Coturnix japonica: one gene and its partners. The protein of the gene in region 2 interacts with the protein of the main gene of each other region in a biochemical or structural test. Links are inferred from orthologs where the notes say so. Each region holds a gene or a part of one and is shown on either strand. Other genes may lie near its edges.

Region 1 (5,097 bases), on a different chromosome or scaffold from region 2:
TCAGGGTGACAGGACAGTCATAGCTTTGGTGTACATGGCATTGGAGCTGGAAGGTGGTGGTATCTCTTGCTGCTGCCAAGCATCACACAAGCAGTTGGCACCAGGTCCCATCACCTCCCCATAGGCCTATGAATCCCCTGGGGTTTTGCAGGGAGCATCTGCCCCAAGTCTGCCTCAGCTCCTGGCACTTACTTGTAGTATTCAGCAGAGATGTCAAATCTCCCAAGGAAGATGTGTGCATTGCCCAGGTTGCTGTATGCTCTCCTCTCAGCTGCTTTGTCCCCAAACTCCTTAGCAATAGCCAGGCGCTGCAGCAGACACAGATGAATGAGTACAGGTTGGCAATGCCAGACTTCTGTTACACAGCAACTTTGCTGGGAGATTAGCTTCTTGTTTTGTAAGAGTTTACATCCAGACGCACAGCGGTGCATGTGCACATCAGGGCTGGATGCAGCAGGAACTCTCTCCATCTTTTGCAACTCAGCATCAGGAAGGACACAGAGCAGAGACATCCTCCTGCAACTCCCATCCCAACATGCTCTTTTTGGCTCCAAGAAAGGGGCAGAACAACTCCGTGCAGCCCCTTCATGTACCTTTTTTCACAGCACTGCTGTCCCCAACACCTTCTCAAACAAAACCAGAGCAGCTCTGGCAGGGCCTGACTGCCTGATATACTCAGTACCCTCCACTTTGAAAGAAATAGTGTCAGCTCTCAACAAGAAACTGAATTGCATTTGAACTGGGGCAGGGACTGCGTGGTCTCACCCCTCTGAAAAGCTTCACAGAAAGTAGCTGTGCTCTACAAACAACAATTATTCCTGATCAGCAGCTCTTTCAGCAGCTTAATTGGATTCACGGCTTGCATTTATTACAATTTAGACTGGCACAAATTAAGCACAGAAAAGCCTTTCCTAGGCCCAGCTGCAAATTGCCCTTAGAAATCTCCTTTGGTTTCCAAGCCAACAGCACCCTTCCCTTACACTGCTCATCAGGTGCTGATGAGGAATGCAGTAAGGCAGCACAGCACATCAGGGCAGGGGCTGACACACATGGGGGTCTGTGCCCCCCACAGCTGAGCAGAAAGCCTGCTCCCTATTGGCCCTTCCATCCCCCAGGGAGATCCCCACATGCTTTCCCACCTCCTTGTGGAAGGCAATGGCTTCGCTGAAGTTGCCAAGCAGGTACTGCGTGTTGCCAAGGTTGCCATAAGCACGGCCCTGTGCAGCTCTGTCCCCCAGCTCCTTCACCAGGGACAGGTTCCTCCTGCAAGGAAGCAGAGCAATATTTGTCCTCCCACAGTCAACCTACAGCACAAGGGTTGCTATGAGCATCAGAGAAGAGATATTATCCCCAGCAAGGCAGGAATGAACCTGAGGATAGGGGGAGATTTATATTCCCTTGTTATGGTTCTTCCCAGCACACACAGAGCTCTCAGTGGCACTAATCTAATCACTGCCTGTGCAACATGCATCACTCACTGGGGAAAGGCTAGCGAGCCACACAGCAGCATTAACACATCCTCAGGTATGAGGAGATTGATGCAAGATCTTGGTGTTCTCTTCATGTAAAAAGCTATTTAAAAAAACACCTGTGTTACTGAAACAAAGCTGAGGTAGTAAGAGAAAACTATTGGCCTAAAAGCAAGCTGGGCAATAACCTTCCTGTGCTGAACATCAGAGTGAACTCTGCAACTGTTTAAGAAAGGGAAGGATGTTACAGCAGGATGAACTACAGATCCCTTCCAAGGGGAAACACTGCTCCAAAGGAAAAGCCTCATCCTTTGGGAGAAGCAGCTCTGTTTGTGGCCATAGCGAGATGTGCAGGGATCCATTCCCACCAAGGCCAGCAGAGAGCAGCAGGGGCCGCAGGAGCTCTCCTCCCAGAGCAGACTATTGAACTTCAGTGCATGCAAAGTCAAGCTGCAAAGGCTTTTATTGAGGCACTAGTAGGAAAAGCTTTAGCTCAAGCTCTGTAAAAGCATGCAGCCCTTCCCTTGCCTTCCTTGAGATGAATTCATTAGCATAACTTGGCCCCTCACAGTTGGAGGAACATTCCTACTTGCTAACAGCATTTTATCAGTGACTGATGCCAGTTCCCTGCAGCACAAAAGGGTGGCCACACTTGAATACTTACTCATAGTATTCTGAAGCTTTCTGTAGCGTCTCCTTGACTTCTTGAGGCAGGCAGCCCGGATCTTGGGTCATGTTCCAAGATAAATGCTTTCCCTTTGCATGGTAAACATTTCCTATGTTATAGAGTGCTCTGGCTTCACATATCTAAAAGAGGGAAGAGAAAGACACAGCAAGGCATTACCCTCCCCATCCCAACATGACCCTTTCCATTGCTGAGAAGAGATGCTCAGCCAAAGCCCACATTCTCCTTTACCACCCTCACTGCCATGCCAGCTTTGCCCATCAGCAGCATCAGATGGGGTCAGAAGGGAGAATCTGACATCCCAGCTCCTACCAGGGCCCACATCAACCAAATCATCATTCACTGGGGCTTGAGGGTGGATTAAGCTTCAAGACAGGAAGGACACAGAGCAGAAACATCCTGCTGGATGCTATGGAGCAGTTACCTTGTCTCCCTGCTCCTGAGAAATGTCCAGGTGTCTCTGACAACAAACAACAGCTTCATCAAACTGCCCAAGTATTTTTAATGTATTCCCGAGGTTGCCACTTGCCTTGGCTTCTCCAATGCGGTCCCCAATGGTTCTACAAGATGACCCAACAAAGGGAAAGGTATTAAAGAGCTGACAGACATTTATTCATCAACTGTTGGAGGCAAAATTCAAGTTACAGAGAGCAAAGTTGTAGCAAACACTGCATGGTATGGACACCACATCCAGGTATCCCCAGCTTCTCTTGACACTCTTGTTCACTGTTTTGCTTTCTCGGTTGGAGACTTCTAATGGCTTCAGGTGTGCTTCCCATGAATGGGGAGGGAAGAATCAGACACTGCCATGTTCTTGCTCCAGCCACTCTCCTCCATATCCCTTCCTCTGCCTCCTGTGTTCTTTATATGATGGTGAATTCCACACCTCAGAGCTACCTTGGACGCTCATTTCTAGGGTAGGTTCCCTCATCCTGTTGGGCTCCGATGCCACAGAACTTTCCTTTGCTCAAATTCTGCTTAGGATGAAGAACAGCCAACACACTTACCTGGCCAGTGTGAGGTCATGCTTATGGTACTCCAGGGCCTTGGAGTACTCCTTTAGGTAGAAATAGGCATTGCCCAGCTGACTGTAGATGGCACTGAGAGTCTTCAGGTCCTCTGTCCCCACCTGCACTGCTGCTTCAAAGAAGGCTGCCCCAGCTTTGAAGTCCCCTGCCTTACACAGACGTTCTCCTTCCAGAGCCAGCTCCAGGCAGGATGCCTCCATTCTGTCAAAAGCAAGATGCCCACCTTTAGACCCAGTGTGCCCATGCCACCATGCAGTGGTTAAAAAGGCAGCTCAACATACATCTAATTACTCACTGCATCAGGAAAAACTCCTGCATGTGAGACAGAAGCACCCAGAGCTACAGGCTGCACCTGTGAGCGGCCACAAGCAGCCCTTGGGTTCGTGGTTGGAAGCAGGACAAGGAACTCGTGCCTCCCAGTGCCCACATTGCGTGCTGGCATCCTGAGCATAGCATGGCATCTGCTCTTCTTCCAGAGGGTGCATAGCACAGAAGTCTCACACTTGGGCTGCTCATGCGTATGCAGCTTTCCCAGGGGAACAGTAAGGGCAGCCAAAGCCCAACACCTCCTCATTGGATACCAGCACAATCCTGGGCTGCACACAGCTCCCTGGCTGAGCAACTGGGCTGCTTTCCATTAGCTCTGCCTGTCACTTTTTCCACAAGCACTCTGCACATCAGCCTGCAGGCAAGCTGCTCTCCCTCCTGTTTCTCAACACCTTTGGCAGCAGTGCACACTGGGCTGTGAGCACAGAGGAGCAAGGCTGCTGCCACTGGAACGCCCTGCTCCCCACTGAGTCCTACATCACAGCCACCCCCAGGAGCTCAGAGCAGCCTTGAACCCACCAGGACAGGGCACAAGTATGAGAGCTTGTGTTTGGAAAGTCAGCCCCTCCAAGACAAGGGGGTGGATGCAATGTGTTCCTGTGTCTCTGCTCAGAGCCTTCTCTTCACTCCTTTTGGCTTTTTTTCCCCCTTTCTGCTTCATGTATTTTAGACACTCAGAGCCACATGGGTCAAAGGCAGATGTCTGCTCTGAAAAATCACAGCTCACTCATCCCGAGTCAGAAGAGCAACAGTCAGACAGAAGATGATAAACACCCAAAGGAGACTTCTATTCTATTCTCAGCAAAACAGCACTGCAGGGAGTTCAGTCATGCTACACAGATTGAGAACAACATGCGTGGTACAGCTGCAGCCCCACTGCTGCCTCCTATACAGGCACACATTGAGCCCTGGGAGATGCCTCCCCCAAAATAACACTCACAACACATCCAGGGCCAGCCCTGCAACCTCTCCCATCTCACTGCTCTTTGGTCCCCAAAGCCACCAAATAACAGCAGGGAGAAAGAAGCTGTTTCACAACCCCTGAGAGTTCCCACCTCAACCAACACAGCTCCTCCACAGCCTGCACCCAAGGGGCTCTTTTACTTGTGCAAGAAGGCTGCTTGTAGTGCCAGCGCAGCATTGCTCCATGCCTGAAGCCCTGTTTGATACAGGAAAAAGGAAAATGTTTGACTGCTGGTACTAAAAATGTTTAACTCCTCTCCACAGTACATTGAGCCAAGCCACAAGAAAATTAGTAAGAATGAGCTTCTGCTGCAGAGTGTTGAGTTCAAGGGGCCCATTGCAGGATCGTGGCGAGCTGTGTGGTTTGCAGATCACTAGAGCAGGCGATGTCAGGAACTGACAGACATCTGCCAACGGTCCCCAAGAAGTTTTGGGGCTGGAGAAAGAAAATGAACACCTAAATGAGCAAAAAAATTCAGGGAACTTAGAGAAGAAACTTGAAAGGACTCAAAATGTGGGGAAATGGAGCCACTGTCACAGGAACTGAGGTTGGGAGGCTGCAGACAGAAGCAGACTCTGAATAATTTTGTTTCACATTTCAACAGTCAAAGCTCATCCCAATAAC
Region 2 (4,056 bases):
AAGCTGAGCAAATAGCCCCTATCTGGGCAGAGATCTTCCTCTTTCCTTCTGGGAACCAGCGGGCATTTGCCTTAAATAGAAGACAGGAGTTAGCAGAGCTGCTCTTGCGGCTCTCTGCTTTGACGTCACCGCGTTGTGTTGCTTTTGGCCCATGCTGCACAGTGCCCCCCTTGTCTGCGTGTTTGCTGTGATAACAAATCCGTGCTCATGATTTCTGTGCCTCTTGGATACACGATGGGTTGAAGGGCTCTGGGCAGCCCTGTGTCTCAGCAGAGCAGTGCTGCTATCAGCCGAGGTGCTGCACTGCAGTGCTCTCATAGCCAGGAGCTCCTACACTGAGCTTTGAGCTGCAGCAGCTCACCTGTTTGTTTCTTTCTTTCTTTGTTTCCATGCATAAAAGCGTTTCTTGACCTCACAGTGGTTTTCTTTTAGCAGCAGTGTGCAGGTAGATAGCCATGCTCCAGATAAACCTTTGTCAGGCTCAGTGTAAATGAACTGGAAGAGCTGATGTGAGTAGGTGTTTGGAGTCCAGTCAAGCAAACTGGATTGTTGCTAAGGAAATGGGAGGCAGGGAACAAAACAAGCGTGCCCTTGTGAATCAGCAGCTGATGGCTGAACCTTGGCTTGTTCTGCTCAAATGGCTCCAAAGAGAATCAGAGCCCGCTGGGGTCCTGAGGGGGGGCTCTGTGTTGCTCCCAGGCTGTGTGCTCGGTTTGAAGTGCAAACCAGGCCCTTCCATGAGCCCCCCCCACCTCCCGTGTCAGGGCAGAGCTCTGTGTGGCCTCTCAGTGTGTGCTGTGCCTCTGCAGGATGTTCGATGTGGGTGGGCAGCGGTCGGAGCGGAAGAAGTGGATCCACTGCTTCGAGGGGGTCACGGCCATCATTTTCTGTGTGGCCCTGAGTGACTATGACCTCGTCTTGGCCGAGGATGAAGAAATGGTACAATATAGGGGGGGGGTCCCAGGGTCTGTCCAATGGCCCTAGAGCTGGAAACAGGGCTCAGGCTGTGCCCTGCTTGCTGCTGTAATGTGCTCCTTGTCCTGTCTGCCCCCCACCCCTCCTCCCCGAATACCTCTGCACTGATGCATCACCCTCTTTTATTCTGCCTTTCAGAACCGGATGCACGAGAGCATGAAACTGTTTGACAGCATCTGCAACAACAAGTGGTTCACAGACACGTCCATCATCCTCTTCCTCAACAAGAAGGACCTATTTGAGGAGAAGATCAAGAAGTCCCCCCTGACCATCTGCTTCCCCGAGTACACAGGTGGGGGGCACACATAGCTGGGGTGGGCTCTCCTGTCTCCAGGCTCAGGGCTGGAGTCCAGGGCTGTGTCCTGTGGCCGTGGCTCTGTCTATAGGGTTTGTGCTGGGCAGCCCAGCCTGTGTCTGTACTCATGGGGCTGTGGTGCTGCCCAGCCCACCCATGGGTGCTGATCCCTTCTGGGGTGGCACCTCGCAGAGCTGAGGTTTGCAGGGCTGGAGGGTTACCAGTGGATTTGGTTTGGAGCTGGATAAGGCAGATGGCTGCGAGCAGCTTAAAAGATCTGTGTGCCAAACCCTCTGTGCTGTGAACTGCTGGCTGAAGTGAGGGACCTGATCTCTGCCAGGCTCCAACACGTACGAGGAGGCGGCTGCCTACATCCAGTGTCAGTTTGAGGACCTGAACAGGAGGAAAGACACCAAGGAGATCTACACGCACTTCACCTGCGCCACCGACACCAAGAACGTGCAGTTCGTGTTCGACGCCGTCACGGACGTCATCATTAAGAACAACCTGAAGGAGTGCGGGCTGTACTGAAGGTAAAGCAGAGCGGTGCGGGGCAGGGCCGGGCCGTGCTGCTCCCTCTGCTCACTGCTCTCCCTGCAGTTCTTACAGAGCTCCCTTGGCACAAGCAGACTTTGCTGCCTCGTGGGGACAGCGGCGCGAGCGGGACCAGGGGGCTGAAAGCAGCATGCAGAATCGTCGCGTTCTTTAGCACAACCTTCTGTATTAGGGACCTTTGGGATGGATGAGGGGGCGTTGAGGGTTGGGGTCAGGGCACTACAGCCCCCGTGGGACCTTCTGCGTCGCCCTGACGTCGTGTGGATGGCGTGAGCCGATGGTGTACAGCTGGTGTGGAGTCGAGGTGCTGGGTTCCAGGCCTTCCATATGTAGCTTTCTCTCTTTCTTCAGTTACCAACCCACCACTAGTCTGTTTTTAAAGGTGTTTCATTGGTTGTTTTTGTTTTATTTTTCCCCCCATTGAGATAACTATAACTTTACTAAACTGTCTTTTCTTTCTTCGCAAAAAAAAAAAAAAGGTTCTTGTTTTAAAAATAAAACCAACAGAAACTCACTGATCTATGCACACACGTGAGCAGGTCGTGCCCGAAGCTTTTCCTCGTAGCAGGAACTCTGCTTTTTAACACTCGCTGTGGTCAGAGCTCCGTATCTCTATGTCTTACAGGCCAGTTGTGCTGTGGGTTTGACCCAGCTCTATGTGGCTTTGGCCACGTCTCGGTGGCACACGGTGAGGGCAGGAGCGGCACTGAAGGCTGCGTGTTGTGACACAGCAGCTTGGTGAAGGGCACACCGTGTTGTGCATCTCCCACAGCCTTTCTGTGCAGGGTCTGTATGGACAGCATGCCTTTACTCTGTATATGTGGTGCCAAATCCCACCCCTTCCCTTTGCCATCCTGTAGTACCGTCCTTACCCCATCAGCCCCATTCCTTTGCTGACCCATCAGCTCGGGGGGGGGCTCTCATTGTGTACAGTTCTGATCTGTTGTAGCTGTTGGCAGTATTAAAATGGTGAGTGAACAGTTGGGTCCTTTCCCTCCTTTGTGCCTCTCTCTGGGTGTGGGGGGGGGGGCTGTGGGTTGTTGGTGTGTCTCAAAGCCCCACTGCAATGTGGGGTCCCACCAGCTGTGCCTGAATCCTTCAGCACAGGACAAACCAGACATCCATTCATGCACATCTCTTTATTGTTTGGTTTGGTTCGGTCGTTTCTTCTCCCTAAGTGAAGCTGCTTTGGTGGCTGCAGTGAAGATGAGAGCGTACAGGGCTTGTCTACGGCACCACGGGTTTATTTACAACCGGTAAAGAGCACATCCAGCTCTAAGTAGCAGAACTGCCAGCCGCCCTCGGTGCCCGTTTCCTCTTCCCCTGCTCTGTGCAATGTGTGGGTGCTGCCCGAGAGGAAGCTGTGCTGTGGGGCAGGCAGGGCGGCTGGGGCCCCTCCTAGTGTGGGCTCAGATGTGGGGGGGGGCAGCTCATAGAAAAAAGTGGGGGGTTGGGGAGCTCTGTGTGTCGTCCTCTTGGCTCTGCGCAGCAGAACTGGGATGTGGGGCTGCAGTCGGCTCTTCTGACAGGGGGGAGATAAGAGGGGGAACATCCATCCCCGTTGCTGCCAGCTCTTGGGGTCTGGGCTCACAGCCCCCCCCCCCACACCCCCTACCTGCTCAGAAAAGCCCACAGTCCTTGAGGTTCTCCTTGATGATGATATCTGTGACGGCGTCAAAGACGAACTTGACGTTCTGGGTGTCTGTGGCGCAGGTCATGTGACAGTAGATCTCCTTCACGTCCTTCCTCATGTTCAGATCCAGGAACTGGGTCTTGATGTAATTCCCCGCGTCTTCAAACGTGTTGGGACCTGGGGGGGCAGCAGTGGGGTTTCCCTGGTGCCGTTCCATGCTGGTGCTATGGGGTCCTTCCCCCATCTCCCCCCATCACTCACCATCATATTCAGGGAAGCAGATGCTGAGGTGCGCCTTCTTGATCTTCTCCTCGAAGAGATCCTTCTTGTTGAGGAAGAGGATGATGGACGTGGCGGCGAAGAACTTGTGGTTGCATATACTGTTGAAGAGGTGCAGGGATTCGTGCATGCGGTTCTGTGAGCAAAAAGAGGGGCAGAATGTGGGGCTGAGTGTGGGGTGGATCTATGGGGCTGAGTGTGGGGCTGGGGGGTGGCAGCCCCTCATCCCATGTCCCCACCATGAATCCCCCCCACTCACCACCTCGTCGTCCTCCACCAGCACCATGTCGTAGGCACTGAGTGCCCCGCAGAAGATGAT
Region 3 (5,604 bases), on a different chromosome or scaffold from region 2:
CGTCATCCTGCAGTATATAAACCAGCCCAGAAGCATTTACGGGGTCATTAATACCGTTGCTATAACAACTGCAGCCTGCAGTGCAAAACAGAAATGCTTATTAGCACCAGCACCATCGCTGACAAAACACAGGCTGACTTTAATGTCATTTGGCTACTTCAGGGACAGGGTTTAATATTAGCTTTCTTTTCATGGAAATAAATAAATAAATAAATAAAATAAAAATAGAAAAGAAAGAGAGAGAAAAAGATTGATTGCAGTGATTCTGTATTTTCCTTCTAAATGCCCAAATGAGTTCTCGGGAGCTGCACATCACAGTGCTGCGCTTGGGCTGATACCATTGTCACACTGCAGTACAGTCATATTTTAAGAGGCATCGTCTGCCTTGGAGTCATGTAAGAGTGGACTGGACAAGGCCTTCAGGCACGCACTGACAGATCATTGCATACACAGCATTACAGAGCTGTAAAAGCTGAAAAGATTCCATGTGACCATCTCTGTTAATGAAAAGTGAAATAAAATAATGCATTCTATGTTTATTTTTGTACTTATTGGTAAAAGGCAGGATATGTTACTAAAGACAGCTGTGGTTAAAGAGTCCTCAATAGGCAGGATGTGATAAATTAGCCTACTCTGAAACTGAAAATGTAGTTTAAAACCATAACCCTTCTTCTCAAAGGTGCTCAGGCTACAAAAAGCAGTTCTGCACTGAGTATTTTCCTTTCAGTCTGACCTTAAAATGTGAGTCACAAAGGTAATACAGAGTAGCTTCTCTCTGTTCCTTTAAAATAAAATATAATCAGTATATACACATATAGAGAGAGGGAGTGGTTATATTTCAGGAATTTGGAGATGCAGATTTTTTACATTCTTTGGACTCCGAGTACTTCCCCTCCTCCTCAGCCCTGCAGTCACAAGGAAGGGACCTGAACTTAGTAGCATGTCAGTAAGTGCACAGAACCAGCCAACGCTGTGGGAAGAGGATGAGGTCATGCCTTCTCCTCAAAGCCAGGTATCTTATCTGAGTTATCAGAATGAGTCACTGCTGTTAAGAAGAGGAAGATTCAATGAACTATGGTATCGCTTAGCTATAGCGAGGAGACTTTCTCTGGGACCATCATGCCAGTTGCTCTTTTCCAGCCTCTTATTCAACTAACAGTGGTTTCTTTGGTGGATTTATTATTCCTGTGGCATCTCCAACATAAATTGTACTAGAATGAGACATTTAACTGAGAATGAGCTTGTATGTTAAGAGCTAATTTGTGACAATTAGCCTTACAAAATAGCACATTTAGGTTATGGAAGCTGAAGTAGGAAATTTTTAGTTATATGGTGTTAAAATGAGAATAAATCACTTTCTTGTGTATGTGTGTGTGCTGAGAGTGTTTTTACTCAGGCTGGGAGACTGTAAGTCAAAATAAAGCCACAAAAGATACATGGGAAGCTGTAAGTGGACAAGCTTGAAATTAGCAGTAGGTGTTCACCACTGCTGAAAAATGATGCAAAGATCAAAATATATCCTTACAAAAATATTTTATCAACCACCAGGACAGCCTCAGAAATGCCAGGTTTCCTGTTAGCATGTTGTAGGTAGAGCTGACTTTGTGTCTAGCATATGGCATCGGAGACTGCAGAAGGCAATTTAAGGTCATCTGGAAGTTCCTCTAGGAGCTTAAGGGTAACGTTACCCATTTTGTACTACAAAGCGATTCTCATTGAAGTTCATTTTAGAGGAGCCATACGCACTTTTCAAACGTTTTTTTATGGGGAGAAGATGGTGGCATCATCCTAATGATTCTAGCATGTGGAGTTCCACAAACACTCTGCTAAAAGCTGTGTTTGTCCGTATGAACAGCGGCCATTTTGCAGAGTTGTAATCTCACTTCCTTAAATGACGACTGTAAAAGCAGAACTCTACTTCAAGTCCTGTGTGCGTGCAGCTGCAGTGACAGCTAAGGTGGTGAACCTCCTCCTTCCCACTACCTGCTCTGGAAACTGATCTACAGCCAATTGGGGGAAGCCAGCCTGAGACAGCATGAACACGCCTTGCTGAACACACCGCTTATACAGATGAAACCACTGTAAGGGAGTTAAAGGAGCGTTCTGTAAAACTGGGAAGCTTATTTAGAAGATGGAGAACCCACTTCTTTTGTTCACTCAACTGAACAATTCTGCTTCGAAGGATAAATCCTATTACAAAGTCACGAAAGCAACAGTTAAAGAAGAGCCAAATAAAGCAAGCAAGCCTGGGTAAGTTTTAAGGTCATGCTGACACTTTGAGTGTTGTTTATGCAGAGGATTCTTCTAACATAGCTTGTGGGTGTGAATTTAGGGCTCAGATCTTTCTGGTTTTGACCAGCATATGTGAAAACTGGTGAACTGCAAGCCTGGGAATTGTAGACATGAAATATTCATTCAACAAGGAAATATTTTTTAAGAACAAGAAACAAATAAATAATAAACTAAGTAAATGGGAAAGGGAGGCTTCACAAAGTTCTGAAAAGGGCTTTTTAAACCCTTAGTGTGAGCTGGAAAATATTCTTTGTAAAGACTTCAAGTGTGAGGAAGCACTGCTTCCTTTTTTCTTTGCAGAACATTAAAAGTAGAAGATGCTGAGCCAACTGTTTTGTGTGTCCACGAACTGCGTTCATGTTCCTAATATGAAATCTCATCCTTCTCCTTCAAGATTAGTGGAAAGTGTATTGGAAACAAAAAGATGCCCACTTCTGTTTGCCAGTGCTTCATATACAATTCATGTTAATGTCTGAAAAAGAAATTAATTAATGTGAATAATATAAATAGGAGAAGTAGTGGAAATATTAGTGTAAGTGAACCTGTGGTGCAGAGGCAGAGATATTAGTCAAAGAAAATGCCTGGAAAAAAAAAAACCAACATTTTTACTAAGGTTGATTTAAAGGCTACTTGAACTCTGTTGTAGAGCAAAACAGAAGAGAAACAGACTGAGCCTTCTCCTGCAGAAATCTGAATTACATGAAGCTGAACATCTTGGTAAACCAACGAGCTTGACAAAAGCAGCAAGGTAGGCATTATAAAAGGCAGAGACAATGGGGATTCCTTCTAGGAAGTGTTGGTGTGACCCAGAACATTTCCTGCATATGCGTGTGTGCATTCAGACTTGGCAGAGAGTAATACTTTGAAAATCTGTTTCATTTAGAGTTGGCTATCGAACTCAAGCATACAAATGGTACAGAATTATCTGGCCTAGAACAAGGGAACTCACAAGCAGTGTTTTCACACCACTAAGTGCAGACTGTTACCTAGACATGCACATATACCAAAATCTTTACTCACACCAATGGTGTTTTTCTTAGCCCACTGGTTATCCCAAGCAAGCACTTACTCAGAAATAGAGGTGAAAATTACTGTTTAGAAGGAATTATGCAGCTCCTGGGATAACAGATATTCCAAAGAATTCTGGATGCATGTGAACTACTGGATGCATAGTTCCTTGATAATCGCATTATTGACAAAACACCGTCTCGTCTCCCAAATTCAAATACTGATGTTTCAACACTGCTGTAATATTGTCTCTGTGACACTATTTCCCATAAAGACAAAGTGGGAAGTATTATTTTTTGGTAAACTCAGTGAGAACTCACTTAGTTCTTGACCTCACCAGGACACCAGAATCTTAGAGATGTACAAAGAATTTGTAGGTCTTGAATGAAAAGTACTGCAGAAGTACTGCAACTCCGAGGTCGAAAAAATTAGTAGCTCCCTTCTTTCCACTGCAGAACACTTTAGAGATTCCCATCCCATTTTTAAGTCTTGTTAACGTTGTCTAAGCAATTACTGCTTTGCCGGCCAAGATGTATTGCTTTGACCAGAATGCCTTCTCATAGAAGTAAACATTGTGGCTATCCAAGTGATAGCACGTACTCAAGAACTGGAAGACTTTCCACGCTCCCAGGGGAGGATTTCATTGCTTTCCACCTCCCCTCTCTTTCTTTGTTGTGTTGTTCTGCTTAATTCTACCGTGGTTCTACGGTTCACTTAAAAGATCTTGAAGCTATGAACAAAGGTAAAGGACTGCAGCAAACAACCTTTTTCAGTTCCTCAGTTCCAGACACATAAAACTGTCCTGAGATTGTACCTAAAATGAAAAAGCACAGCCTCCACGCCACCTGTAGGCAGATGATACCTTTTCAATGCTCATATTTATTTTGGTGGCTGATTACTGCTGGGTATTTCATACCCAGTTTCTGGTTTCTCTTTGTTATGGCAGGAGCCCCTGGTGTGCCATTGCCTTGGGGATCTGTGAAGCTACTTTCTTTCTAAAAGAAACTGAAGAAATCACACTAGGAGTTGTCAGCAAAGGACCTCTCCCACATTCTGTGCACTGTTGGACTGTGTATGTGCTCTGAAGCCATCAGGGCTTATCTTTCACCATTACCAAATTCATTTCTGTGGCTGCAGTAGCCTGTTATTCCCAGATGTACAAGCACACACGGTTCAGAGAACTGCACTCTATGTACTTCCCATAATTAAAAAACTCTGTGAGGGAGCAAGGTCTCACTTTCCCCGACTCCAGAATTCCCCTGCTTTATTGGCCTACGTTCATTTTTCACATTTCAGTTCTCCATTATTTGTATGCCTTGAGAACTGTTTGTCTCTCCCTAGCTAAGAATTTCATTCCTATAAACAATTACTTCAGCTAAGAGACACATGACACCTGTAAAAGTCTAAAATAAAAATCCTCCTTTTACTTATTATACAAAACCAAGAGCATTATTGGCTTAAATGCCCTCTCATAGTCACTGGAATTTCCCTTGGACTATATTTCATGTGACTACAGATTTTGCCAAGGGAACCCAAGCTATGTAAATCAGGCAACAGAAAAAATGTGAGCCTGGGGCAGAAAAGAGGCATCACTTCCAAAAGCATTCAATGCAGAACAAGTTCTTCTGGTTTTCAGCTCCACTGTCAACTAACACTAGACAAGCTGCTTAAATGAGGACATTCCCACTCTGAGTACAACACTATGTGACCAAATGAAAATGGTTCTAAATGTTAATATCCATTCTTCACCTTCAGACTTAGAAGTCTGAGCATGATAAAGTTAATGCCAGCCTTGTGCCTGTTTCTGTATTATGCCAGTCTGTGTGTGCAGGGAAAACCTACACAGAACAGAGTGGTTCCTGAAAATTTTATTTGGAAGAATAGAATTATTATTACTTTCCTACCTGTATAGTTCTCTAAGATGGAATATTGGAAATAATTGGTAAATACATGCAACTTGGCACAGATGATGAAGAATACCTGGAGTTTTATAAACTGAGTGCAGCATCTCAGAATCACGTGACATTTGAGACGTGTCTGTGGTGAACAAACCAGACTGTATGTGCTAATACCCTAGAAAACTATCACCTAGACCATACCACTACAGCTTCGTCTTCAGCCTACTGAACTTCCCGTACTTCATTGCAAATAGGCTGTGGTAATGCAGGCTCAGAACCACATCTCGGCAGGACTATTTTTTATGACTAACTAGGTGACCGACCTGCTTCCCTTGTGAGTTTTGCCATCCTGCATCACCTCTATTTCCTCAAAGATTCCTCACAGAAGCACAGTGTAAACATTAAA

What was found.
Region 1: the proteins of GNAI3 (region 2) and GPSM1 form a complex in vitro, tested with the Homo sapiens proteins (2 studies listed by BioGRID). The link is inferred for Coturnix japonica from reciprocal best matches to the Homo sapiens genes GNAI3 and GPSM1.
Region 3: the proteins of GNAI3 (region 2) and RGS18 form a complex in vitro, tested with the Homo sapiens proteins (2 studies listed by BioGRID). The link is inferred for Coturnix japonica from reciprocal best matches to the Homo sapiens genes GNAI3 and RGS18.

The regions. Positions count from the first base shown.
Region 1 is NC_029532.1:6,447,260-6,452,356, forward strand, and holds part of GPSM1 (G-protein-signaling modulator 1), read right to left. Parts: intron 3,384-5,097; coding exon 3,162-3,383; intron 2,715-3,161; coding exon 2,579-2,714; intron 2,277-2,578; coding exon 2,134-2,276; intron 1,264-2,133; coding exon 1,140-1,263; intron 309-1,139; coding exon 193-308; intron 1-192. UniProt on the Homo sapiens protein: Guanine nucleotide dissociation inhibitor (GDI) which functions as a receptor-independent activator of heterotrimeric G-protein signaling.
Region 2 is NC_029541.1:1,617,324-1,621,379, forward strand, and holds the end of GNAI3 (guanine nucleotide-binding protein G(i) subunit alpha), read left to right. Parts: intron 1-809; coding exon 810-939; intron 940-1,113; coding exon 1,114-1,267; intron 1,268-1,610; coding exon 1,611-1,801; 3' UTR 1,802-1,803; intron 1,804-1,870; 3' UTR 1,871-2,805; downstream 2,806-4,056. Other genes in the region: GNAT2 (guanine nucleotide-binding protein G(t) subunit alpha-2), read right to left, coding at 3,445-3,635, 3,720-3,873, 3,997-4,056. UniProt on the Homo sapiens protein: Heterotrimeric guanine nucleotide-binding proteins (G proteins) function as transducers downstream of G protein-coupled receptors (GPCRs) in numerous signaling cascades.
Region 3 is NC_029523.1:3,552,038-3,557,641, reverse strand, and holds the start of RGS18 (regulator of G-protein signaling 18), read left to right. Parts: upstream 1-1,890; 5' UTR 1,891-2,131; coding exon 2,132-2,250; intron 2,251-2,938; coding exon 2,939-3,040; intron 3,041-5,604. UniProt on the Homo sapiens protein: Inhibits signal transduction by increasing the GTPase activity of G protein alpha subunits thereby driving them into their inactive GDP-bound form. Binds to G(i) alpha-1, G(i) alpha-2, G(i) alpha-3 and G(q) alpha.